4 linked regions of the Macaca mulatta genome follow. The protein of the gene in region 2 interacts with the protein of the main gene of each other region in a pairwise test. Links are inferred from orthologs where the notes say so. Each region holds a gene or a part of one and is shown on either strand. Other genes may lie near its edges.

What was found.
Region 1: the proteins of CAMK2B (region 2) and ACOT7 interact in binary tests that used the Homo sapiens proteins (3 or more experiments, as listed by UniProt). The two-hybrid records come from large-scale screens. The link is inferred for Macaca mulatta from reciprocal best matches to the Homo sapiens genes CAMK2B and ACOT7.
Region 3: the proteins of CAMK2B (region 2) and CCM2L interact in binary tests that used the Homo sapiens proteins (3 or more experiments, as listed by UniProt). The two-hybrid records come from large-scale screens. The link is inferred for Macaca mulatta from reciprocal best matches to the Homo sapiens genes CAMK2B and CCM2L.
Region 4: the proteins of CAMK2B (region 2) and RAP2B interact in binary tests that used the Homo sapiens proteins (3 or more experiments, as listed by UniProt). The two-hybrid records come from large-scale screens. The link is inferred for Macaca mulatta from reciprocal best matches to the Homo sapiens genes CAMK2B and RAP2B.

Annotation. Positions count from the first base shown.
Region 1 is NC_133406.1:234,334,324-234,340,254, reverse strand, and holds the start of ACOT7 (cytosolic acyl coenzyme A thioester hydrolase), read right to left. Parts: upstream 4,014-5,931; 5' UTR 3,997-4,013; intron 3,599-3,996; exon of another isoform or gene 3,577-3,598; coding exon of another isoform or gene 3,126-3,576; intron 3,047-3,125; exon of another isoform or gene 2,531-3,046; intron 387-2,530; coding exon of another isoform or gene 115-386; intron 1-114. Other genes in the region: ESPN (espin), read left to right, coding at 115-386, 3,126-3,287, 3,378-3,576, 4,895-4,921. UniProt on the Homo sapiens protein: Catalyzes the hydrolysis of acyl-CoAs into free fatty acids and coenzyme A (CoASH), regulating their respective intracellular levels.
Region 2 is NC_133408.1:84,110,160-84,116,012, forward strand, and holds the start of CAMK2B (calcium/calmodulin-dependent protein kinase type II subunit beta), read left to right. Parts: upstream 1-2,419; 5' UTR 2,420-2,592; coding exon 2,593-2,657; intron 2,658-3,171; exon of another isoform or gene 3,172-3,267; intron 3,268-5,853. UniProt on the Homo sapiens protein: Calcium/calmodulin-dependent protein kinase that functions autonomously after Ca(2+)/calmodulin-binding and autophosphorylation, and is involved in dendritic spine and synapse formation, neuronal plasticity and regulation of sarcoplasmic reticulum Ca(2+) transport in skeletal muscle.
Region 3 is NC_133415.1:84,831,450-84,837,574, reverse strand, and holds the start of CCM2L (cerebral cavernous malformations 2 protein-like), read right to left. Parts: upstream 3,766-6,125; 5' UTR 3,743-3,765; coding exon 3,713-3,742; intron 238-3,712; exon of another isoform or gene 101-237; coding exon of another isoform or gene 95-100; intron 1-94.
Region 4 is NC_133407.1:56,332,583-56,337,638, forward strand, and holds RAP2B (ras-related protein Rap-2b), read left to right. Parts: upstream 1-2,063; 5' UTR 2,064-2,531; coding exon 2,532-3,083; 3' UTR 3,084-3,410; downstream 3,411-5,056. UniProt on the Homo sapiens protein: Small GTP-binding protein which cycles between a GDP-bound inactive and a GTP-bound active form. Involved in EGFR and CHRM3 signaling pathways through stimulation of PLCE1.

The sequences.
Region 1 (5,931 bases), on a different chromosome or scaffold from region 2:
GCCCTGGAGCCCACTGTGGCCCTCGGCAAGTTGTTTCCAGGTGGCGGAGAGTCTGTCTTGGGGAACAGCCTGTCCGCAAGCTCCCAAATCTGGCCCTTTCTTCTGCCTCCCCAGAGCTTTCCAGCGCTAGAGCTGCAGACGTACAGAGCTACATGGACATGCTGAACCCGGAGCTGGGCCTGCCTCAGGGCATGATTGGGAAGCCCACACCCCCACCACCCCCACCCAGCTTTCCCCCGCCACCCCCGCCCCCAGGCACCCAACTGCCCCCACCCCCACCTGGCTACCCAGCTCCCAAGCCTCCTGTGGGACCACAGGCAGCTGACATCTACATGCAGACGAAGAACAAACTCCGCCACGTGCAGACGGAGGCCCTCAAGAAGGAGGTAGTGAGCCCTCACCCCCTGCCTGCCTCCCGGCAGGGGGACTAGGCCGATGGGAGCCAGTGAGGCCAAAGGCCTGGCCTCACTAGTGGGCATAGGGTGGGGGTCCCTAGGTCCATGGCATGTTCAAGAGTCAAAGCTCCTGGCGAGTCCCATGAGGGGTCAGGGGTGGACACTGGACTGGGAGGAGAGTAAGAGCAGGTCACCGCCCTCCATGGGAGCCGGGGAGTGAAGGACGCAGGTCCAGACAGCTGTGCCTCACCAGGAACTGGGCCTGTGCCACCTCTTGCACAGAGTGGCTGGGTTGTCATGAAGTTGACAGAGAATTCATGGAGACTGCCCCTCCCCAAGCATGCCCCCACCACCCCCACAGCCCCAGGCTGTCAGAGAGTGTTACCCAAGGGAGGTGGCTGCCAGGTGGAAGGTGCCAGTGGCATGGCTGTGGAGGTGAGGGCTGGAAGGAGTGTGGGGGGAAGGTGAGCAGGCACTAGCAGGGCTGGGTGCCCACCGGCAGTGGGGGCTGGGAGGAAGTGAAGCTGTGGCTAGTTCCAGTTTAGGGCTCGAGATCCTGGGGGAAAGGGCCAGGCCTGAGCTGGGAGCCCTGGAGGGAAGCAGAGCCTGTGTGGAGAGGATGAGGCCAGGGCAGGCAGGTGGAGTGTGAGGCACCTAGGGATGTCTGGGGGCTGCAGGCCCCTGGCTGAGGCTCTGGAGCAGGAGTGGGGGCAGAGGTCTGGTCTGAGCAATTCTGGGAATCTTGGGCAGGGTGACCTGGGGAACACTGGCATTCTGGCCACAGGAACAGAGCAAGGATGGCCTGAGAGGTGAGGGGACAGCCTGAGGTCACAGGTGGCCAGATGTGGTGTGGCAGCGCTCTGGGGTCCTGCTGGAGCCTGGGACCTTGCATTTCTCTCTTAAGCCCAAGGCAAGCCATCCCAGGGCCAGTTTATACAAGGTGACCCAGGTCACAAGGCCACTGGGCAAGGGAGGCATGGGAGGGACACCAAACCTGCAGGCCAGTTCCAGTGGCTGCCCTCTTCATGCTACCTTAGACCAAGCTCCCACAGTAGCTTCCCCTTTCATCTCTGGGAGGCAGAGGGGGCCGGCCAGCTAGGGCTGCAGGGGCCCTGGAATCGCTGAGCTCCCAGCCCAGCCTGTGGGCCCCGCCCAAAGCCACAGGACAGGTGGCCCAGCCAGTGTCCCCTCTCCACCGGTGAGCCCAAGTGCCAGGTCTGCGTGGTCCCCTCCTGGCCGTGTGAGCCCGTCCCGGGTGTGTGCCTCCCTCCCGGCTCAGTGCGCCCCTCCCGGCTGTGTGTGCCCCTCCCGGCTGTGAGCCCCCTCCCGGCTGGTGCGCCCCTCCCGGCTGTGTGCGTCCCTCCCGGCTGTGTGCGTGCTGGGCCGCAGGCTCCAGGGCCGGGACCCGGACACTCCACAAAGGGCTCTTTGTGTGGCCGCGGCGCCCCCCGCGCGGGTGCCTGACCGAGGGCGGGAGCAGGGTCGTGGCGTCCGAGCCTCTGGGCTGCAGGGGGCGCGGAGCGGGCGGGCTGGCCCAGAAAACAAATCCTGCGGTGTCGCGTTTCCTGCAACGTGAGCCAGGTCGGGCGGGGTGAAGGGTCTGAGGCCACCTCAGGGACGCAGGGGCTGGAGAGTGGGGCAGGGGACAGCCCCCACTCCGTCACTCAGCGTTTGGCCGGGCCGCCTCACTCTCCCTCACTGAGCTGGGCCTATTTGGGGGCAGCTGCGACGGGGCGGGAAGCCACGCTGTCACCCGACCCCGCCTTACGGCCCCTGAAACCCGAGGCTTGAGCGCGGGTGTCGGTGTCGCTTTCGGATGGGGATGGTTTCCAGATGCAGGAGGGGAAGCAGGGGGACGCGACCCGGAGCCGGGGGCCAAATATGAGAGGCCCCCTCTGCCCAGGATGAAGGTGGGGGCTCAGCTCCCAGCTTAGGGAGAGGCGCAGGGGGCGGGGTCACATCTGGCCTGGGGCGGGTGCAGAGCTGCGGCCAGGTGTGGCAAGGTAGTTGGCACCCCCGTGGTATCCGCCACGGCTGGGGGGTTCGGCCTGGGATTGGCGGGCCCCGGGTGATGTCAGGCCGTCGGAGCCCATAGGCTGGCCGTGTGCGGGCGGCTGTAACCTGAGAGGAAGTATCAGGTAACGCAGGTGTCGGGTCCTGCCACCCCCGCCGCCAGGTGCACAGCGGGGGCCACCAGCACCGTGGCAGGTAGGAGCAGCCCCCGGATGGGCAACCGGGGTCCGGGACAAGCCGGAGCCTCGGAGAGCACAGGCTCTGGAGGGGGCTCCCTCCGGCCGGGACCCCGAAAGACTGGGCTCCGCGGAGCCCTGGGGACCCGCAGTCCGTCTGACAGCCGAGAGCGGGGTGCGGCCAAGGGCCTAGTGAGGGCTAAACCGGGAGGTGCCCCTTCTCCAGCTCCCCCTGGCGTCGGGGCTGGGCCACCCCGCCCCTGGGCCCGCCCCTTCTGGCCTCAGTGGGGGCCCCTGTGCCCCTTGGCCGGTGCCCAGAACCCCTCCCTGTAAGGCGGGCGGAGCCTGCCCTTCCACCGACACCCCCATGACCCTCTCCCCGTGCCCGCCCTGAGAACAGGGGATGTAGGAAGACGGCTGCTGCACCCCTCGACGGCCGCTGGCCGCGAGTCCCCCCAGGAGGTGAACGGCTGGGTGGGGAGGCGTGGGGGGCGCCTACCCGGCAGGTGCCCGAGCCCCACCGGTCACTGTCTTCCTGCAGCCAAGCTCCTGCGACGGCCACGACGGGCTGCGGAGGCAGGACTCCGGCCGCAAGCCCCGCGCCTTCAGCAAGCAGCCCAGCACGGGGGACTACTACCGGCAGCTGGGCCGCTGCCCGGGCGAGACGCTGGCCGCACGTCCAGGCATGGCGCACAGCGAGGAGGTGCGTGCCTGCCAGCCCGCGCCCGCCGGCTGCCCGCGCCTTGGCCCTGCCGTCCGCGGCTCACTCGAAGGCCCCTCTGCTCCCCCGCAGGCGGCGCTGCTCCCAGGGAACCACGTGCCTAACGGCTGTGCCGCGGACCCCAAGGCGTCCAGGGAGCTGCCACCGCCGCCCCCGCCGCCACCGCCGCCCCTGCCCGAGGCCGCGAGTTCGCTGCCACCGGCCCCGCCTCTGCCCCTTGAGGGCGCTGGCCCTGGCTGCGGGCAGCGCCGCTCCTCTTCATCCACCGGCAGTGAGTAGGAGCAGGTTGAGGGGTGGGGGGCGGCGCTAGCCCTGAAAGGGGAGGGAAATCTAGACACCACCCCCTCCCCAGCTGTCACTGCCCGGGTCCTTCCTCTTCTACATGCTCTTCCGGCCACCCCTACCCCATTGAGTACTTGACCCTAAGAGAGGGCTCTGGGTTGCTGGAGGTCCTGCCAAAGCAGGACCGGGCTGTGCTCCTGGGGCAAGTCCCCTCCCCAGTCTGGGCCTGCCTCCCACCCCCTAGCTGTGTGGCCTGGGCAAGTCCCCTCCCCTCTCTGGGCCTGCCTCCCACCGGCTAGAAAGGGTCTCCCAGCTCTGGCGCTGGCGTTTCCAATGAGCTGGTGCTGGAGGAACACTTGAAGTAGAACCAGCTTCAGAGAGGCCCCGCAGCTGGCCACTCTTCCCCCTGCCCCCCTCTATCCTGAGCCTCTCTTCCTCTCTCCATGTCTTTCTCTTGTCCTTCCAAGCAGCACAGACCTGAAGCCTTCTTAGATATGCCAGCAACTCTTCCTAGCCAGTTCCTGCCAGGGGCCCTGGGCCACCCGGGGCCTGGCTATGGGGGCAATGTTTTCCCCTCCCTCCCCGGTGACTTCCCTAGGCATCCTTTTTTAAGAGCTAGACTGGTGCAGGATTCCTGGGCTGCTTTTCTGTAGGGTGGGACAGTGTCCCCCTGCCAGGATACCTAGAAGGCCCAGGACAGGGTGTCTAGATGTGGTGCTCCCATCTCAGCCTGGCTGGGATGCCTTCCTCACCCAGCCACTCAGGGCAGAGATCATGCTTAGTGGCACCCTCCAAAGCTTTGTCTCCCTGATTAGGAGTGCAGAGCAGAGCTTGTCCCCCTATGGTTCCTGTGGAGCCCCAGCCCCTGCAGACCAGAGCCCATGGAAGCATGTCCAGCACCTGCCAAGCCTCCTCCTCCTTCCCTCCACAGCCTGCAGCAGGGCTGAAGCTAAGGGCAGAGAAAAATACTCTGGACTTCCCCAGACACCCCCACCCAGCACAGCCAGGGCTGGGTGCCCTACCACAACCCAGTGCCAAGGTGGAGGCCCTTGCTAGGGGCTAGAGCCAGTGGTGGCCCTGTCCAGCCCTCAGGGGCACCAGCCAAGCCGGGAACTCGATGGACCACCCTCATGAGGCCCCAGAGCAGCCGGGGCCAGAGCCAGACGGGCAGAAAAGCTCCTCCTCTCTTCTCCACTCCCCCTCCCCCCGCTCTCCCTGGCCCGCTCCCTGTCCCCTGCTGTCCCAGTCTCATCCTGGTCCCCTCTCCCTCCTAACTCCACTGTCACTTCTCTCCTCTTGGTCCCTAGAAGTGAGAGTCCTGAGGCACAGGAAGAGTGAGTAGCTGCGCGCGTGGCTCCTGGCTGAGGCTGAGGCGGGGGGTGGGGGGAAGAGGCAGGAAAAGCAAGGCAGGAGGGGCCCAGACTCGAGGAAAGGGCAGGGGCTGGCAGGCGAGAGAAACTCGATGCATGGGTGGGCCCTTGCACCTCATACCTACCCTCATACCCACATACGCACCTAAGCATTCTGCGCCTGGCTGGTGGTTTTGCCTAAATAAATGAGCCAGCCACACCGATTCTCCCTTTCTCCTCTTTTTCTTCCCTGTGACTGTACTCTGGGATCCCCAGTCTGGGAATCCAAGAGCTATCAGCCCATTTTGTTCCTCCCTCCCGGACCTGACCCCTTCATCGGGGCTCAAGAGACCTCTCTCCAAATCTCCATTTGCCTCCTCCGGCTAAGCCGGAAAATGCACCCTCTGCCCTGTGTATTTGCATATTACCCACCTGCCCTTCTTCCTGGGTGCCTGCCGTAGCCTCAGTAAGGGCCCTGCTTTCCTGGGCCCCTAGAGCTGAGCCTCGCTTTGCCATAAATGTGCTCCCGGCTTGCAAACAATGTGTCTGCTTGTGCGTCTGTCTGTGGGTGTGGTGGGGAGGGAGGGGACCAGGTGGGTACAGACACTCCAGGGTCCGGACTCTGTATGTCCATGGAGGCCCCAATTGACTCAGTTCAAGGGTCACTGAGGCTTTGCTGATGTAGGGAGAGGGCCAGAGGGAGGCTCCACCCCAGCCGGGCTGAGCCAGGGAACCTGGGACAAAGGTCGGGTGGCTGATTCCAGGTATTGTTTTGGAGCTGGGCAGTCAGTGGCTGGGCGGGGACATATGCCCAAGAGCCACCATGAACTCCCAGGGTCCTCCAGGCGGGGGCCCTCCACCCCGTGAGTAGGGTGGGGAGGATAGTGGGGTTGTCACAGTCGGGGAACCAAGGGCCCGCCTCTGGGGGCCCTGAAAGCAGCCTGTGGGACCTGGGATCTGGAGAGCTGCCTGCTGGGGCCGAGGATGGGCACCCA
Region 2 (5,853 bases):
TGTGTGTAAGGCAAAGGAGGTTTTATGGGACACTGGGGTTTGAGTCATAGTCATTCCATGGCTGTGTGACTGTGGGTAAATTACTGTACCTCTCTGTCTCTCCATTATCCCATCAAGTAAAATGGGGATAATAATAGTACATGCTTAATAGGATTGTTTCAGAATTAAATGAGATAGTACATGTAAACTGCACAATCAGTGTCAGCTGTCATTAGGATGCCAGCACCACTTTATCATCTCCTGAACATGCTGGTAGGAGTGTGTGTGGTTTCATAGTAGCCTGCAAAGAGTCCAACTTACAGAGGGGTGCAATTTTCTTTTGTTTGTCTTGTTATTTGTATTCTTTTTCTTGAGACAGGGTCTTGCTCTGTCACCCAGGCTGGAGTGCAGTGGCTTGATCTCAGCTAACTGCAACCTCTACCTCCCAGGTAGAAACGATTCTCATTTGGGATTATAGGCAATGGGCCACCACACCCGGCTAATTTTTGTATTTTTAGTAGAGCCGGGGTTTCACCATGTTGGCCAGGCTGCTCTCAAACTCCTGACCTCAGGTGATCCACCCACCTTGGCCTCCCAAAGTGCTGGGATTACAGGCGTGAGCCACTGTGCTTGGCTTGTTATTTGTATTCTATTGTGTGGCCCTACCTCGTCTTTCCAGAGCTCAGAAAGGGAAAGTGCGGATGCTTCCAGCAGGTGCTGGAAGAAACTCCTGTGGGGTTAAACACAACGCCAAGAACAAACCTCAGACTTGGCCTCCAGTCCTTTCTCGAGTCCATGCCAGTCTGTCTGTTAGGATGGCCCAGGGTTCTCTGAGTCCAAGTCTGACATGGATGGGGTCTCCCTTCCTGCTATGGTCCTGCTGAAGTCAAGGTCAGGATCCCTCTGCCTCCTCAGCTGGGGACTTCCCCAGCTGGCCCAGCATTTGCCTTTGGCCTGAGAGTTTCTTGTCCTCTAGTGTCTTCTGGGTGCAGGTGGGTCGATGGCAGGGACTTGTTGCCGTGTGGTCTACTAATTGCCCAGCAGTCCTATGCCAAATGCATCCTGGCCCAGAAGGGCCCTGGCTGCTGGCACTCAGAATCCCTTTATCCCCTCCCTTATCCACACAACATTTATTGTGGCTTCTGGGGCTTGCTCTGGGCTGGCCACGAGGTGAGAGGGATAAGCAGGATAGGCCCAGAATTGGTCCTTGGGGAGCAGTAAGGAGGTCATGTCAGGGCAGCAGCGTGACCCAAATCCAGAGCTGGCTGCTGGAAACCCCCTCCTCAGAGCCTGCCCAGGATAGACCCTGTCAGAGGAGAGTGTGGGGTTGCTGGAGCCCAGTGGTCTAAAGTCCTGGTTCTGGTTCTGGACAGCAGCCCTGGTGCCAGGCCTCAGGGAAGGCTGTTTTGTGGGAAACCGGGTCGGCCCTGCCTCCTGCCTGCTTCCCTGCACTCTCCTCCTCCTTGGCCTCCAGGACGGCTTTCAAGAGGGGGTTGGGGTGTGTGGGCTCTCTTCCTCTAGGCAAAAGCAGGGGGCAGACAGGTGGACCATGCTGGAAAAGGGGAGAATGTGTACCCTTACCTGAGCAGGGTGGTTATGAGCTCTCAGGCCCCCCAAATTGCTGATGGAGCAGCCCCTGTTTCCCTGGCTCAGGGTCCCTTGGCCTGGACTCCGAATGTCGCCTCCTGGGACCTCCATTCCAGACACCCCAGCAACCGTTCTCTGGAGAAGTGAGGGGGAAGGGAGGGGCTGGGACCAAGGTGAGGGAGCAGGCCCCACCCCTTCACTTTTTCATGCTAGTGTCCCAGTGTGTATGTCCGGCCTTCTGGGCGGCTCCTCCTGGCCAGGCAGCCTTTGTGACATGTGTGGCTGATGGAGACTGGGCAGGAGGGATCTGGCAGCATCTCTTCCTGAGGGTGTGAGGAATGAGTCCTGTGGAGGGCAGCACATGAGCCCTCGGCCTCCATGTGGGCCCCAGTCCCCTCCTGCTGTCAGGCTAGGTGGGCCTTCGAGGGAGAGAGGCTGCGTTCATTATGTGCACTCTTCTGTGTTATGTGAGAGCGAGGGGTCGCCAGCAGCAAGTGGCCTGCGTGCGCGAGGTGCGGGCGTGGTGCGGGTACAGAATGAAGGCGTCAGTACAGGGCGCGGGTGTGTGTGCGGGGTGCGGGGTGCGGGGGCGGGCGCGCGTGTGTGTGCAGGTGCAGGTGCAGGTGCGTTGCGGGTGCGGGCCACGGGTGTGTGTGCAGGGCGCGTGTGCAGATGCAGGGCGCGGGTTCCGTGCGGGTGCGGGTGCAGGAGCAGCGTGTGCAGGGCGCGGGGAAGGCGCGTGCAGGGGGCGGCGGGCGGGCGGGGCGGGCGCGGCGGCGGCGGCGGTGACAGCGGCGCCCGCGCCTCCCCGCGCGTAGGTGTGCGGCGCGCTCCTGGCGAGGACGGAGCGAGCAGATCTCGCGTGCGCTCGCCGCCAGGCGCAGCCCAGCCCGGCCCCCGCCTGGCGCCGCGAGCCGAGGTGTCTCCCGCGCCCGCGCCCGTGTCGCCGCCGTGCCCGCGAGCGGGAGCCGGAGTCGCCGCCGCCCGAGCGCAGCCGAGCGCACGCCGAGCCCGTCCGCCGCCGCCATGGCCACCACGGTGACCTGCACCCGCTTCACCGACGAGTACCAGCTCTACGAGGATATTGGCAAGTAAGAGCCGCGGCACGCGCGGGCTGGGCCGGGGACCCCAGAGGGCCAGGACCTCCGGGACCCTCAGCGCCGCCGGCTCCGGGCGCACTGCGGCCCCGCGCGCTGCCGGCTTCTCTGGGCTCCGGGCCCAAGCGCACGGCCCCGCGCGGCCCCGACCCCCGAGCCCCAGGCCCCGGGCCCGGTCGCCGGACCTCAGCGCGCGCGGCCCTCTCCAGCTCTGCCCAGCGCGGCTGCCGGGCCGGGGCTCTGGGCTCGCGACTTGGCGCGGCGGGGGCGGCAGCAGGTGTCCCCGGAGCTCCCGGCAGACGTGACGCATTTGGCGGCGGGGAGGTCAGAGAGGAGGGGCGCGCGGGGGCGGCCGCCGGGCCTGGAGCGCCAGGAGGGGTCGGCTGCGGCCCCAGAGGGTCGTCCCCCGACGCGGGCACGCTGTCCCCACCCCCACCCGAGCGGCAGGCGGCGGGGGTGGCGGGACCTGCTTGCGCCTGCTCCTGCGCGTGGCCCCATCCGCGCGGGGGGTGCCGGCGTGGGAGAGCCTCTGCTGTAGGTCTCCTGGGGAATCTGGGTTCTGGAGGATTTTCCCCCAGATTCTTCTGGAAACAGGAATTTGGAGGTGTGGGGAGGACGAGGTCAGGGAGCCTGGATCAGGTCATGGGGATAGGGGGGAGAGATTAAGATCCTGATTGGGTTGCAAATTTCAGGGTCATCGAGGTGGGTGGGGGCTGGATTTTGGACCGTTGGCGGGGGCACTCTAAAGGGGAAGGGGCTTTGAAGGTTTGTTTGAAGTGGGACCTCACGGGGAACAGGTGCTGTGGCTCCCGTTCTCTGCTCAGCAGTATGAGCAGTGTGGGGCGAAGGTCTGGTTTGGGTCCCCCAGACCCGGCTTTGCCACTGGGGTCAGAGATGGGGAACGCCTCAGGGGCCTCCTGTCTGGCCTGGGGTCTCCCGTCTGAGAATCAAGGTGGCTGCACCTGGCATCCCCAGGGCTAGCTTCAGAACTCCCGAATCTCCAGCCTGACTGGGCCAGAGCCCCATCCTCCTCCGTCCTCCCCCATCCTCCTCCGTCCCTTCAGTGCAGGCGGTGGGGGCGCTGGCGGTGCTGGCGAGATTTCCTCTTACACATCCAGCACTGATTCTTTTTTTCCTTTACTAAATAAGTGTCTGGTGAAACCTTGTGGTGGGTGAGGGACGCTGATCATTGATAATTGTGGAGTGCGGAGCTGGAGGAGTGTGGGGGTGTGTTCATTCCCCACTTCTCCCTGCACGTGTGGAGAGGATTTGGGTAGGGGGTGGAGATGTGGCGCTCAGCCCTGTGCAAGAAGCCCATGCTGGATCGGTGGGGTGAGGGGCCAGGCCGGCTGGGGGACCCTTCCTTGGATGGGTCTGGAGAGCACCCCAGAGCTGAGACCTCGAGGGAGGGGTCAGGCCCAGCCCCCTTCATGGGGATCCCTAAGTGGGTGGCTGGCTCCCCCGTCTTCACCCCTCAGATGCACAGATCTACCCCTGCCTGTCCTCTTGGCCTCCAGAGGTGTCCTGGCCGCTGGAAGGGCAGGTGGGTAGCAGTTAATGTGCCTGGTTCTCAGAGGAAGAGAGCGGCAGTGGGAAGTCAGTCTTTCCTCAGGGGCCTTCTTGTCGTCTTCTCTGCTTGTGCCCAGAAGCACAGAGGCCCTCACAGCAGGTGTCCCTGGTCTTCCCCAAAGAAGCCACTTTCAAGACGTTCCCATGTACCCCAGTGTCCTCAGCCTGCAGCTCACTCTGGCTGTTCCTTCTCCCCTTTGCTGCGAGCCTCCCTGCATCCAGTGGCAGTGTCAGGGTGGCCAGCTCCCCACTGAGCCTCCAGTTCCAGCACAGCTGGATGTCCTGGCCAGTGCCACCCACACTGGGGAGTGAAGGTCTTTGGGGCTGCCTGGGGGAGGTTGAGAGAGGTGGCTCCAGAGGTGGAGACCAGGTGGGGCTAAGACTGCTGGGTTTCTCTCTGAAGCCGGAGAATGAGCCGCTGCTGGAAGGGAGTGTGGCCTCCTGAGCGAAAGCACTGGGAGCCATGCAGTGCGAGGTGAGGAGTGGAGCCTGGGATCAAGGGGAGCCCCGTGACCTGGGACAAGAGGAGATGCCCAAGCCAGGAGCTGGCAGCTCAGCGCAGTGCACCTTCCTGGAGCCCTGCTAGGCGCCGGGTCCCTGGGGACGCCAAAGGCCTGCCACTGCCATGCTGTGGCGGCTCTGGGGTAGGGAAGGGACTGATTCCTAGGGGGTGCAGCCGTGCCATAGAGGTGGGTCAGGGAGCGGGGAGGGCAGAGCAGGGCACCCAAGGGGGATGTCTGAGGCCAGGGCTCAGTTGTGGGCACTCAGCCCTTTTGTAGCGCTGGGGTCCCTTGGTTGATACGTTGGCTGGTTGTTGACAGTGCCTGCCCGGGGCACAGTTGGTGTTGCTTCCTGGCCTCAGGTGGACATGTCCAAGTTTATTTAAAGCTGCAGCCACTGGCACCCAGTCAGGTCTCACTGAGCTCCCTGCCCAAAGGAAGGACTTGGCCTCAGGCCCACAGCTGCTCATGTGTGACGAGGCCACTGGCCTTTCCCCTCCCTTGCCCCATCCTTTTCTGCTGTCTCTGCTCCCGAATCTTCCCCGGAGGCCTGGGCAGCAGGGTCAGCCAGCCAAGAGGAGCCGCTTTCTGGGGCCCTGCCCTGCCCAGTTCTATAGAGAGTGTGTGCCCTTCCCTGCTCAGCCTGACACTTCTCACAGACACTAGCCTGGTGGCCCATGTGGGAGCAGTTACAGAGCAAGGCAGGGAAGCCCTCAGCCTGGCATGGCCCAGCCAACAGTGCAGTTTTAATTTTTTTATATTCGATAAACTTTAAAGATCCAGAAAAATCCCAGGAATAATAAAATGAACATAGTATCTCTTCTACCCAGAATTGAAAATGGTTAATCTTTTGTCATTTTGGCTTTAAGTCCTTTTTTACAAAAAATTATAAGAAGTATTCCAAAGAAATATTAAGTAACCCATTTTCTTCCAACTACTGCTTTCGTCTTTTTCCTCCCAGGCTCTTTTGGGTACATTTACACATGGATATAAGTATCCATAACTAATATAGAGGATTCTTTTGTGTGGGTGTTTTTCTTAACTTTACGTAAAAAACCTGGAACTTGTACTTTTCACTCAGCAGTCTTGTTGGCACCTGTGCTTGTTGATGTGTTTAATTG
Region 3 (6,125 bases), on a different chromosome or scaffold from region 2:
TGGTGGGTGCATTGCTATTTCTGAGACTATTCTCTGTGCTTTCCTAAAAGTTAGAAATTACTAATAAGTACATTTAAGTAGAATCCAGGGGCACCTGCATAAAAATGGCCTGGATCAAGGTTAAAGGTGCAAATTCTGGGACTCAACCCAGACCAGCCGCCTGAATCTCAAAAGAAAACTTGAGTTCCATCTAGAACAGCATTTCTCAACATGAGATTCCTGGAACAGCAGCACCACCTAGGAATTGAGAGAAATGCAGATTATCGGGCCCCATCCCAGACCCACTAAATTAGAAACTCGGGGAGCAGGGCCCAGCAATTAGGGTTTAACAAGCCCGCCGGGTGATTCTGATGCATGCTCAAGTGTGAGACTGCACTTTAGAGCAGTCGCTCCCAGCCCTGGCTATCCTTTAGAACTACCTGGGGAAGGCCAGGTGCGGTGGCTCACACCTGTAATCCTAGCACTTTGGGAGGCTGAGGTGGGAGGATAGCTGGAGCCCAGGAGTTCGAGACCAGCCTTGGCAACATGGTGAAACTGTCTCTGCAGAAAATATACCAAAAAAATTAGCCGGGTGTGGTGGTATGCACCTGTAATCCCAGCTACTTGGGAGGCTAAGGTGGGAGGATCACCTGAGCCTGGGAGGTCAAGGCTGCTGTGAGCTGCAATTGCAACACCGCACTCCAGCTTGGGTGACAGAGTAAGACCTTGTCAAAAAAAAAACAAAACAGATAACCTCCCCCCACCCCCAACACACACACAAACTACCCGGGGACCTTCTAAAACTTCAGATGTCCAGGTTACACTCCCGACCAACTGAATCAGAAATTCTGGGACTGAGACGCAGGCATAAAATTTTTAATTTTTTAATTTTTTTGAGATAGGGTGTTGCTCTGTTGCCCAGGTTGGAGTGCAGTGGCACAATCATAGCTCACCGCATCCTTGATCTCTTAGGTTCAAGAGATCCGTCTGCCTCAGCCTTCCAAGTAGTTGGGACTACAGGTGTGTACTACCATGCCCTGATAATTTTTTAAATTTTTAGTAGAGATGAGGTCTCACTGTGTTGCCTAGGCTGGTCTTGAACTCCTGAGCTCAAACGATTCTTCTGCCTTGGCCTCCCAGAGGCCAAGGGATTACAGGTGTGAGCCATTGGGGTTAATGAGCTCAGTCCATTAAGATTTTTAAAGCTTTCTTAGGTAATTTCAAAATGCAGCTCAGCTGAAAACCACCGAGTGAATGTATGGTGTGATTACTTAACTCTTGTAATGAGGCAAATATGAGTAAGACAACCTCCCTGCCCTCAAAGAGCTCACATTCTTTTCAGGTAAACAGAACACAAGTCCACAAATACATCTGTTCATTTACTCATTCATTCAGTAAACATGTATTCACACCTGTATGGCTGGACTCTGTGCTGGGTGCTGAGGATTCAGTGGAGACCTAGTCCCTATCCGTACCTCCAGGGCTTGTGATAAATGACCTAGACTAGTGAGTTTCCAACTTTATGTACCCTGGAGTTTTGATTCAGTAGGGTTGGGTTGGAGCCTGAGACTGCATTTCTACCAAGCTCCCATCTGGTGCTGATACTACTGGTCTGTGCACCACGCTTTGAGTAGCCAGGATCTAAACCAGTGGTTCTCAAAGTGTGGCCCCACAACCGTAAGCATAACCTGTGGGTTATTAGAATTGCAAATTCTTTCTGACTCAGCGATCCTCCCACCTCTGCCTCACAGTAGCTGGGACCACAGACATGCACCACCACCACACCTAGCTAATATATATATATATTTTTTAAAGAGATGGGGTCTTACTATGTTGCCCAGTCTGGTCTTGAACTCCTAGGCTCATGCAATCCTCCTGCCTCAGCCTCCCAAAGTGTTGCCATTACAGGCATGAGTCACTGTGCCTGGCCAGAAATGCAATTTCTTGAACCCCATCCCAGGCCTACTGGCCCAGAAACTGGGGGTAAGACCAGTGATCTGTGTTTTAATGAGTCCTCAGGTGATTCTTATGGGTACTCAGCTTATGTTAGAACCAATATCATGCAGCCAGGATGGGGTATGTAGAAACTTTGAGGAATGAGAGGAAACTATCTGGGAGAACACATGCCAAGCAGAGGGCACAGCATGTGCAAAATTCTGGATGCCTCAAAGGCTGGATGAGGGTGAGCCTGGAGAAGCTGTGTACAGTCAGTCTGCCCTGGCTAGATTATGAGATGAACATATCTTGAATGCCAGCTATGGAGCTGGGACTTTGTCTTGCGTGTGTGTGTGTGTGTCAGGGGTGGGGAGGTGGTATTTTTGTTGGTGGCCCTGAATGGTTCAGCTCTGCCCACCTGTCCAGCCCCATCTGCCTCACTCTTGTCCCCTGGCCCCCCACTACACAGTCCTCTTTCAGTCCTTCTGGCTTGCTACGTTCCTTCCCACTGTGAGGCTTTTGCACATGCTGTTCCTCTGCCTCAAACGTTCTTCCCTACCCCCTTTCCTTCCACCCGTCAGCTCTCGACTCAAACTGATCAGTGTAGGGCTTGGTACCCTAATATTCTGTCCTCCAGCACTGAGCATGGGACCTTCTATGAATTTTTTTTTTTTTTTTAGACAGAGTCTTACTCTGTCACCAAGGCTGGAGTGCGGTGGCATGATCTTGGCTCACTGCAACCTTTGCCTCCTGGGTTCAAGCCTCAGCCTCCTGAGTAGCTGGGATTACAGGCATGCACCACCACGCCCAGCTAGTTTTTGTATTTTTAGTAGAGACGGGGTTTCGCCATTGGCCTGGCTGGTCTCAAACCCCTGACCTCAGGTGATCTCCCGCCTCGGCCTCCCAAAGTGCTAGAATTACAGGCATGAGCCACTGCACCCAGCCCTTCTATGCAATTTTACATTAATTTATTCATTGCTTTAACAAAAGAAATGAAATGCCTGGTGCATAATAGGCATTCAATAAATACCTATTAAAAGAACAAACTAAGAGAAAACATGCATGTATGTCTTGGCTCCCTTCTGAGCCCTGTGTGATTCATGTGGGCACCTTTTAGAACAGCCTGGACCCATGTTTCTGGTGGGGGTAGGGTAGAGGGGAGGATGGAAATGGGGGTAAGATGGAAGTTAAAATCAGAGTAGCTCCCTAAACTCCAAAGACAACCAGGTGAGACACCCAGAGAAGCATACCAGAAAACTTCAGAGTCAGAAGCGGTGAGGGTCTGGGGGTGGGGGAATGGCTTCTGGCTGACGCCTTACACATAGGCCCTTGTAGAAAGGTGGGGAGGGGCAGGGGAGCAGGTGGGAGACTCAAGCCTGGGTAGGCAACCTCCTATGAGAATTGTCCTGACTGGGTCCTTCTGTCTGGGGCAGTGGCGAGCGGGAGAATGGATCTGCTGGGTGTCTGTCTGTCCCTCTGTCTGAGAGGCTGCAGGAGAGAGCCACCAGGAACAGCAGGGAAGCAGGTGTGGAGAATCTCCCAAACTGTCTGTCTGGCCAGGTTTCCTGGGAAGATCCCTGTCTGTCCGTGTTAGGGATGCCAGAGGCCACTGAGAGTGGAGAAACAGGGAGTTGAGAGCCTGGATGTCTGGCTGCCCAAGAGTGGGAAGGAAGTTACTTCCAAATGAGAAGAAAGACCCCACTTATGCCCCTTGCTACTGACCCCCCACCCTGCCCCAGGTTGCCCCCTTCCCCAGCTTTGGGGACATTCCCTGCCTCCCTCCCAACCTCCTACCTACCTTCTTCCCTTTCTTGACTTCATATTCCATGGTGAAATGTCCCGTCTACTTCTGCCACCCTCCTGGCCATCCCCTCCACCCCCCCAACCCAGTTCCTTTGTTCTTTTTCCTGCCTGGTCGGAAACTCCACCAGCCCTGGAGTTCCTGCCCCTCCCATCTGACGGGGAGGGCAGGGGGTGTGGAGGACACAGCCTTGGGACCCTGCAGCTGAAGGGTGGAAGCCCAGGCAGAGCTGACCTGAGGAGGGAGGCTCAAGGCCTCTAGCCAGAAGACATGTTATTGGGGGAGCTTGGGAACTGGCCAAGGCTGGGGAAGGGCCCCCTACATTTGAAGTCCTAGTTTGGAAAATTCCAAGTTCCAGCCCTACTTCTGCCACTGACCTTGTTGTGTGACCTTGGCAAGGCAAGTCGGTTCCCCCTTTCACAGCCTGTTTCCCCTGCCCTCCATAGTTGGAAGTAAACACTGCCTCCCTCCCTAGGCTGCTGTGGTGAGAAATGAAAGAGTCGGTGGAAAGTGTCTTAGAGAGTATTGTAGCCAAGCAAGTTATGATTTTTAAAAATTAATCGTTACTCTGAAGGGAGGCAGTATGCGTGGGCTTTGAAGATAGGCTGCTTGAGTTTGAATCCTGGCTTTGGCACTTACTAGGGTTATGACCTTTGGGAAGTCTCTTAACCACCAGTGCCTCAGTTTTCCCATCTTTAAAATGAGCATAATACTAGTTTAACCTCATAGTGACCTTGTGGGGATTAAATGCACCTAGAAGAACTTCTGGCACATATTAAGTACTCAGTAAGGCCGGGCGCTGTGGCTCACGCCTGTAATCCCAGCACTTTGGGAGGCTGAGGCGGGCGGATCATGAGGTCAGGAGTTCGAGACCAGCCTGGCCAACATGGTGAAACCCCGTCTCTACTAAAAATACAAAAATTAGCCAGGCATGGTGGCACACACCTGTAATCCCAGCTGCTCGGGAGGCTGAGGCAGGAGAATTGCTTGAACCTGGGAGGTGGAGGTTGCAGTGAGCTGAGATCGCGGCACTGTACTCCAGCCTTGGTGACTGGCTGAGACTCCATCTCAAAAAGAGCAAGACTCCATCTCAAAAAAATTTTTTTTTAAAAAGTGCTCAGTAAATATTAACTGTTTACCTGCCTAGCAGTTGTCAACTTAAAGAACAAACAGAGACTCTCTAAAAGAAATTTCACTTAGGGGCCGGGCGCGGTGGCTCAATCCTGTAATCCCAGCACTTTGGGAGGCCGAGACGGGCGGATCATGAGGTCAGGAGATCGAGACCATCCTGGCTAACACGGTGAAACCCCGTCTCTACTAAAAAAAAATACAAAAAACTAGCCGGGCGAGGTGGCGGGCACCTCTAGTCCCAGCTACTTGGGAGGCTGAGGCAGGAGAATGGCGTAAACCTGGGAGGCGGAGCTTGCAGTGAGCTGAGATCTGGTCACTGCACTCCAGCCTGGGCGACAGAGCGAGATTCTGTCTCAAAAAAAAAAAAAAAAGAAATTTCATTTAGGAATTAAGCATTGCAGTGGGAATTACCTATATGCCATAGTAAGTGATGTGCACTTTCAGGGAGGTGGGGGAAGACAAAAATTTTTAAAAGAAAAAAATAAGGATTATGTTATTGTTTTTGAACTAATTATCCTTGACTACCAAGATCAAGAGCAAGCATGACGCCAGTCTAAAGTTGGACAGGCAGTTGCTGGGCAGATGTCCTTGTGGAAGTATTTTTTGTGCAAGGTTTCGATGGCCTTTGTGCAAGGTTGTGATTTTTGTAGTCTTTTGTGTAATCAGTCTTTGTTATTATCTGTTTTGTCATCAGTCTTATTTGTTTTGCAAGCATGAAAATCCTCTATGGGGGCCGGGCGCGGTGGCTCACGCCTGTAATCCCAGCACTTTGGGAGGCCGAGGCGGGCGGATCACAAGGTCAGGAGATCGAGACCACGGTGAAACCCCGTCTCACTAAAAATACAAAAAATTAGCCGGGCGCGGTGGCGGGCGCCTGTAGTCCCAGCTACTCAGGAGGCTGAGGCAGGAGAATGGCATAAACCCAGGAGGCGGAGCTTGCAGTGAGCCGAGATCGCGCCACTGCACTCCAGCCTGGGCGACAGAGCGAGACTCCGTCTCAAAAAAAAAAAAAAAAGAAAAAAAAGAAAATCCTCTATGGCCTTCCCCAGCTCTATTTGTCAAGGTTTTCTTAACATTAGTGACTCCATTTTTATTCTGACCATATTCATAGGGTCTTGAGCTGTTTTACTCTGTTGGAAGTATATTAGAGAGGCAAGGTCCCCTTTGTGGCTCTGTGCTGAACACTTTACATATTTTATCTTACTCCTCGCAGTGTTGAGTACCATGATAGTACCTATTACACAGATTTTTAAAACTGAGGCTGAAGTGCAGAGCCTGG
Region 4 (5,056 bases), on a different chromosome or scaffold from region 2:
ACCACTTTCTAGTTGTGGCATCGCAGACAAATTACTGATCATCTCATAGCCTCAGTTTCCTCATCTTTAAAATGGGTAAATAATTATTATTATGAGGAGTGACAGTACATGTAAAACGCTTCGCGGACATTACATATTGGGTGAATGTTGGCAGGGTTCTCTCCAGCTTACGCGAGTTTGCCTCTGAGAGGTTTTTCTGGAGAATTATATAAGCTTCATTACATCCAAGCACTCTGACAGTCAAGGTGAAAGTCTCCTCTCTCCACTAAACGATGGGGTGAGGCGCGGGTGTGGGCACCACCCACTCCACCCAAGGAATCAGGGGCAGCCCACGTCCCGCCCGGTTCGGTGCCCAAGGACTTCACGCTGCAGACGCGCTGAAGAAGCTTCGGCCAGGGGTTTGGAGGTTAACTAGCAAACGCAGTGTGAGTCACGGCGGCATTAGGAACTGAAACCAAGTGTTAGCCATGCCCAGGTTTACCCTCCAATGCTGACGGTGAAACCAGGGAGCAGTGACATCAGGACTGGGAGCCAGCGCTGACGCAGCTCCACCGCCTCCCTCCCCACCCCGCACCCGTGGCGCGCGCCGCCGCGCTCAGCCTGCAGACAGGTCTTGACATCCCTCCTCAGAGAGGAGCAAGGGAGTCGGAACAAGTCGGGGCATCTCCCTCGCACCTCCCGGGAGCGCCAGCCCAGCTAAGTCTAGCGATTGTCCGCCAGCCAGCGAAGACGCTTCCTCTGAGGCAAGCTTGGACACTCCCCTACCCCTCCGGGTGAAACGAATTCCAAGTGGCCCATTTCGGCTCCTCGGCCCCCTCCCACTCCCTGCAAAAAAACTTGGCAACTCTGAGGTTTCTTGCGGACCAAAACCTGTAATTAGCCCTTTGTGCTCCCTTTGAGGGGCAGTCGTGACTGGAAACCGAGGAGTCAGACTCTCTCGAAAACACCAACAAAGAACTATATTTAGTTCTGAGCTCTCAGCCTAAATGCCTCTTATTTTTTCACTTTTACTTCAAAACGCCTGGGTTGGGGAAGTGGGAGGCAGGGGGTGGGGAAGCAGCGGAGAAAGAACAGCTGTGCCTCCGCCTCTCCTCTCAATCTCTATAAATAACCAATCGCGAGCGGAGGCTACTTTTTAGCCAATGAAGCGCCCCAAACTGATAAAGCCTTGGCGGCAGCCAATCAACAACACTTAGGGGTGTGAGACTCGCGTCCCGAGACCAATGAGTGCGGAGTCTGGGAGAGGTAATTTGAGCTAGAGTGTGGGTGTGTGGTGCAAAAGCTTCCTACTTCCAAGCCCAAAAACCTGCTCTGCGACTGAGCATGCCCTGAACTAACTGCGGGCGCCCGGAGACTTCTGGATAGGGATGTAATCTCGTCTCCGGGTTTTGACCGCACCCGAGCGGGGAGGTGGGTACGACCCGCGGGACCCTGCCCCGAGAGAGCTGCAGGTACCAGAGGCTACCCCTTTCCTAGTCGGGACAGTATCTCAGGCTTGGAGTACCTCCTGTTTTCTTTGTGCAAGGCTGCAGTGCACAGAGTAGCGTTTCTGTGGCGAACGGTGTTGAAAAATCTATGGGGCCGGGATGCTCCGCCGGCTGCTCGTGCATTCCACGGCACCCACATGACTTCGGGTTTCCGGCCCCAGACACACGCCCGCCCGGGGCTGGGTGAATGGCGTCCTTGGGCCTTTGATAACGGGAGTTGGCAAGACCACAGCCTACTCTATCCTGAGGCGGCCCGCCGCACCCACATGCTTCTCGCAGAGCCGCCGCCCTTGTCCACCACTCCCACAGCTGTAAAAGAAAGCGGCCTGCATACTCCCTACACCGCTTTCCTCGCTCCAGTGTACGCACACACACCCCATCTACCAGCCAGTTCCTAACTCGCGCCACTCCCCAAACTGGACTCAAATCCGGAGCCCCGCCTACATCCCCGCCCCCTCCCGGCCCCGCGGAAAACCAGGAGCGGCCGCTTGGGTAAGGCGCGGCCGGAACGCACTGGGCATGCTCGCCGGGGAGGGGAGGGCCGGGCTGCGCGCGGCGAGTAGGAAGCCCTCGCCCAGTAGAGGCTGCGGGAGAGAGCGCGATGGGCCGCGGCGGTGGGCGCACGTTCCGCGGGGACTCATGCCACGCGCGTCCCGTCCCGACGCGCAATTAGCAGCCACCTCCGCAGCCCGCCGCCACCGCCTCCCCGCCCTCCCGGGCTGCCGCAGCTAGGAGCTCCAGCCATCGCCTCGCGCAGGCTGCGGGCATTGTCCTCCCGGTTCGCCGCCCGGGCTGCTGCTGCTGCCGCCGCGGACTGCTGCGGGGCCCCGACCCGCGCCCCAGGGACACGCCGCCGCCGCGGGCCGGCCCGGCGCCCGGCCCCCGCTCGGTGGTTTCCGCCCTGCGTTCTCTGGGCTACTCTCTCCTGGGTTTTTCCTGAGGAGCTGAGGAAGGGGAAGAGAAGTCCAGCCGCCAAGCCCAGCCTTCCCCGGCGCGCAGCCCCGACGGGGCCGCGGCAGGCGCGGCGAGAGCGCTGACGGAGCCATGAGAGAGTACAAAGTGGTGGTGCTGGGCTCGGGCGGCGTGGGCAAGTCCGCGCTCACCGTGCAGTTCGTGACGGGCTCCTTCATCGAGAAGTACGACCCGACCATCGAAGACTTCTACCGCAAGGAGATTGAGGTGGACTCGTCGCCGTCGGTGCTGGAGATCCTGGATACTGCGGGCACCGAGCAGTTCGCGTCCATGCGGGACCTGTATATCAAGAACGGTCAGGGCTTCATCCTGGTCTACAGCCTCGTCAACCAGCAGAGCTTCCAGGACATCAAGCCCATGCGGGACCAGATCATCCGCGTGAAGCGGTACGAGCGCGTGCCCATGATCCTGGTGGGCAACAAGGTGGACCTGGAGGGCGAGCGCGAGGTCTCGTACGGCGAGGGCAAGGCCCTGGCTGAGGAGTGGAGCTGCCCCTTCATGGAGACGTCGGCCAAAAACAAAGCCTCGGTAGACGAGCTGTTTGCCGAGATCGTTCGGCAGATGAACTACGCGGCGCAGCCCAACGGCGATGAGGGCTGCTGCTCGGCCTGCGTGATCCTCTGAGGCGGCCGCCGCGCGCCGGCCGCGCTCTGCGCACAAAAGCCAAACGCATCCGACTCTCTAAATGTGATTTCTTTCTTGCTTTGAGATTGGAGACCACTTTGCATTGGCCAGGGTGTCTTGGGAGCCCCGCTGGCCTCCGCGGCCGGCGTCCCCTGCCTCCACCCTGTACCCGAGGGGGTGTCCCGTCCTGCCCATCTGATACTCTGGTGGAAATGTGGTTCTTTGCAGCATGTACGTTTCTCCCTGATTTTGGTTGATGCATATTTCCCCGTTTAAGTAGCCGTTAGGGCGCAGTATCGGCAGCTTGACACCCACCAAGCAAAAGTTTCAGCCTGGAAAAAAAATGGGAGGGGGGAGGGGTGGAGGAAAAGGAGGGGGAGAAGGTGGAAATGGTTTTTCTTTCTTTTTTTTTTTTTTTTGGTCAACAACCGTTTTTCTAGTTCCAAGTTTTAAATACATGGAAGGAAGTCCGGGAGAACCATATGAAGGAGCAGGAGGAGAAGAAGAAACTTTTGTTTTTTTCCTTGTTTTCCAGGAGTAGCTGGAAGTTAAGATTGGGTTCCTTTTCTGCCAGCTTGGAAGGGCAACCCCATGACTGATTGCGATTCTGAGGATGTCTATGCAAAGTTGGATTCTTGTTACAGTGTATCCAATCTGAAGTATTGCACATCTGAACTGGGACTGTTAACACTGATGCCAATACAGTGTGGGGTGCCAGAAAGTGTCTGCTGATATTTGTGGAAAAAAAAAATCTATTTTGTTTACCTACTGTATCAAAGGGGAGTCTGGGGGAGAACGGTAGTATTTTTTTTTTTTTTATCAGCTGTGAAAAAAATGTTACAGATCTGCACATTTTCGTGTGTACTATGGTGTGTGTGTGTGTGTGTGTGTGGTGTGTGTGTGTTTTAAGTTTAGCCTTTTGTTTTTGTTTTTTGGTTGGCAGTAACCGATTTTAATGACTAGCTTTTTAAAATACAGTACAAAGACTTTGTAAATGTGATTCAGGGCCCCCAGCACCCCTGTGTCTGCAGAGTGCCTTCAAAACTCAGCTGTTCCAGCCGGTGCCAACCTGTGAACTTCCCACCATATCCCAGAATCTGCTATTCCCCAAACCACTTCCCAGTTTCCTTTCAATAATCTTTCAGAAGGAGCCAGGACAATAGGGCCTGTTGTTTAGTGAATTTCTTTATTATTTTCAGCCTTTAAAATGTAATTTCCATCTCTTGCAATGAATTTGTTTCCTTTTTTTTTTTTTTTTTTTGCTTCATTTTGCTTAAGTTTTCAGGTATTTAGCTCCCCTTTTATATTATTTTTAAATTTTTAAATTACCTGTTGTAGGGTGTTCCTCCAGAAGCAAAGAGCAAAATTTTACTGTTGCGATGTACCAATTCTAACTAATTGTAATTTTTAATTTCATGCGTTTAATCATTGTCTCTTCATTTTAAGACTTTTAATACAAATGTCATTTTTAAAGAAACCCAAAACTATTGTTTGTGTTTCTGTGTTTCATATTCAGTGATTTAATACAGTATCATGGCTGAGGTGGATGGGGTAGGTGCATGATACTCTCCCGAGCTATTTGTGAAATTTTAAAGACAGAAGTGTCTCAGTGACAAGATGGATGACACTACTCCCAACTTTTTAAATTTGGAGAAAACCATCAAGGTCGAGGAAGCCCTGGGTATGGCCATTACCATCTGATTAGAAGATGAACAGGTATTTTGAATCTGATCTGATGTGGAACAGTTTACCTCATTGTAGGTAGGGAACAAGAGAACCCATCTATTAAAATTGCCTTAGATCTGGGAAAGTAACCATCCATCTGGCAAAGTAGGATGGCGCTTTAAAATTTTTCTTCCTTTTTTCCCCATGTTTATATCACACATCAAGTCGAAAACATGTTTGGGAAAGATGGTTTTCAATTCTTAAGTTATACCTAGTGATGTTTTTTGCAGTACATTTGAGTAGGTTGT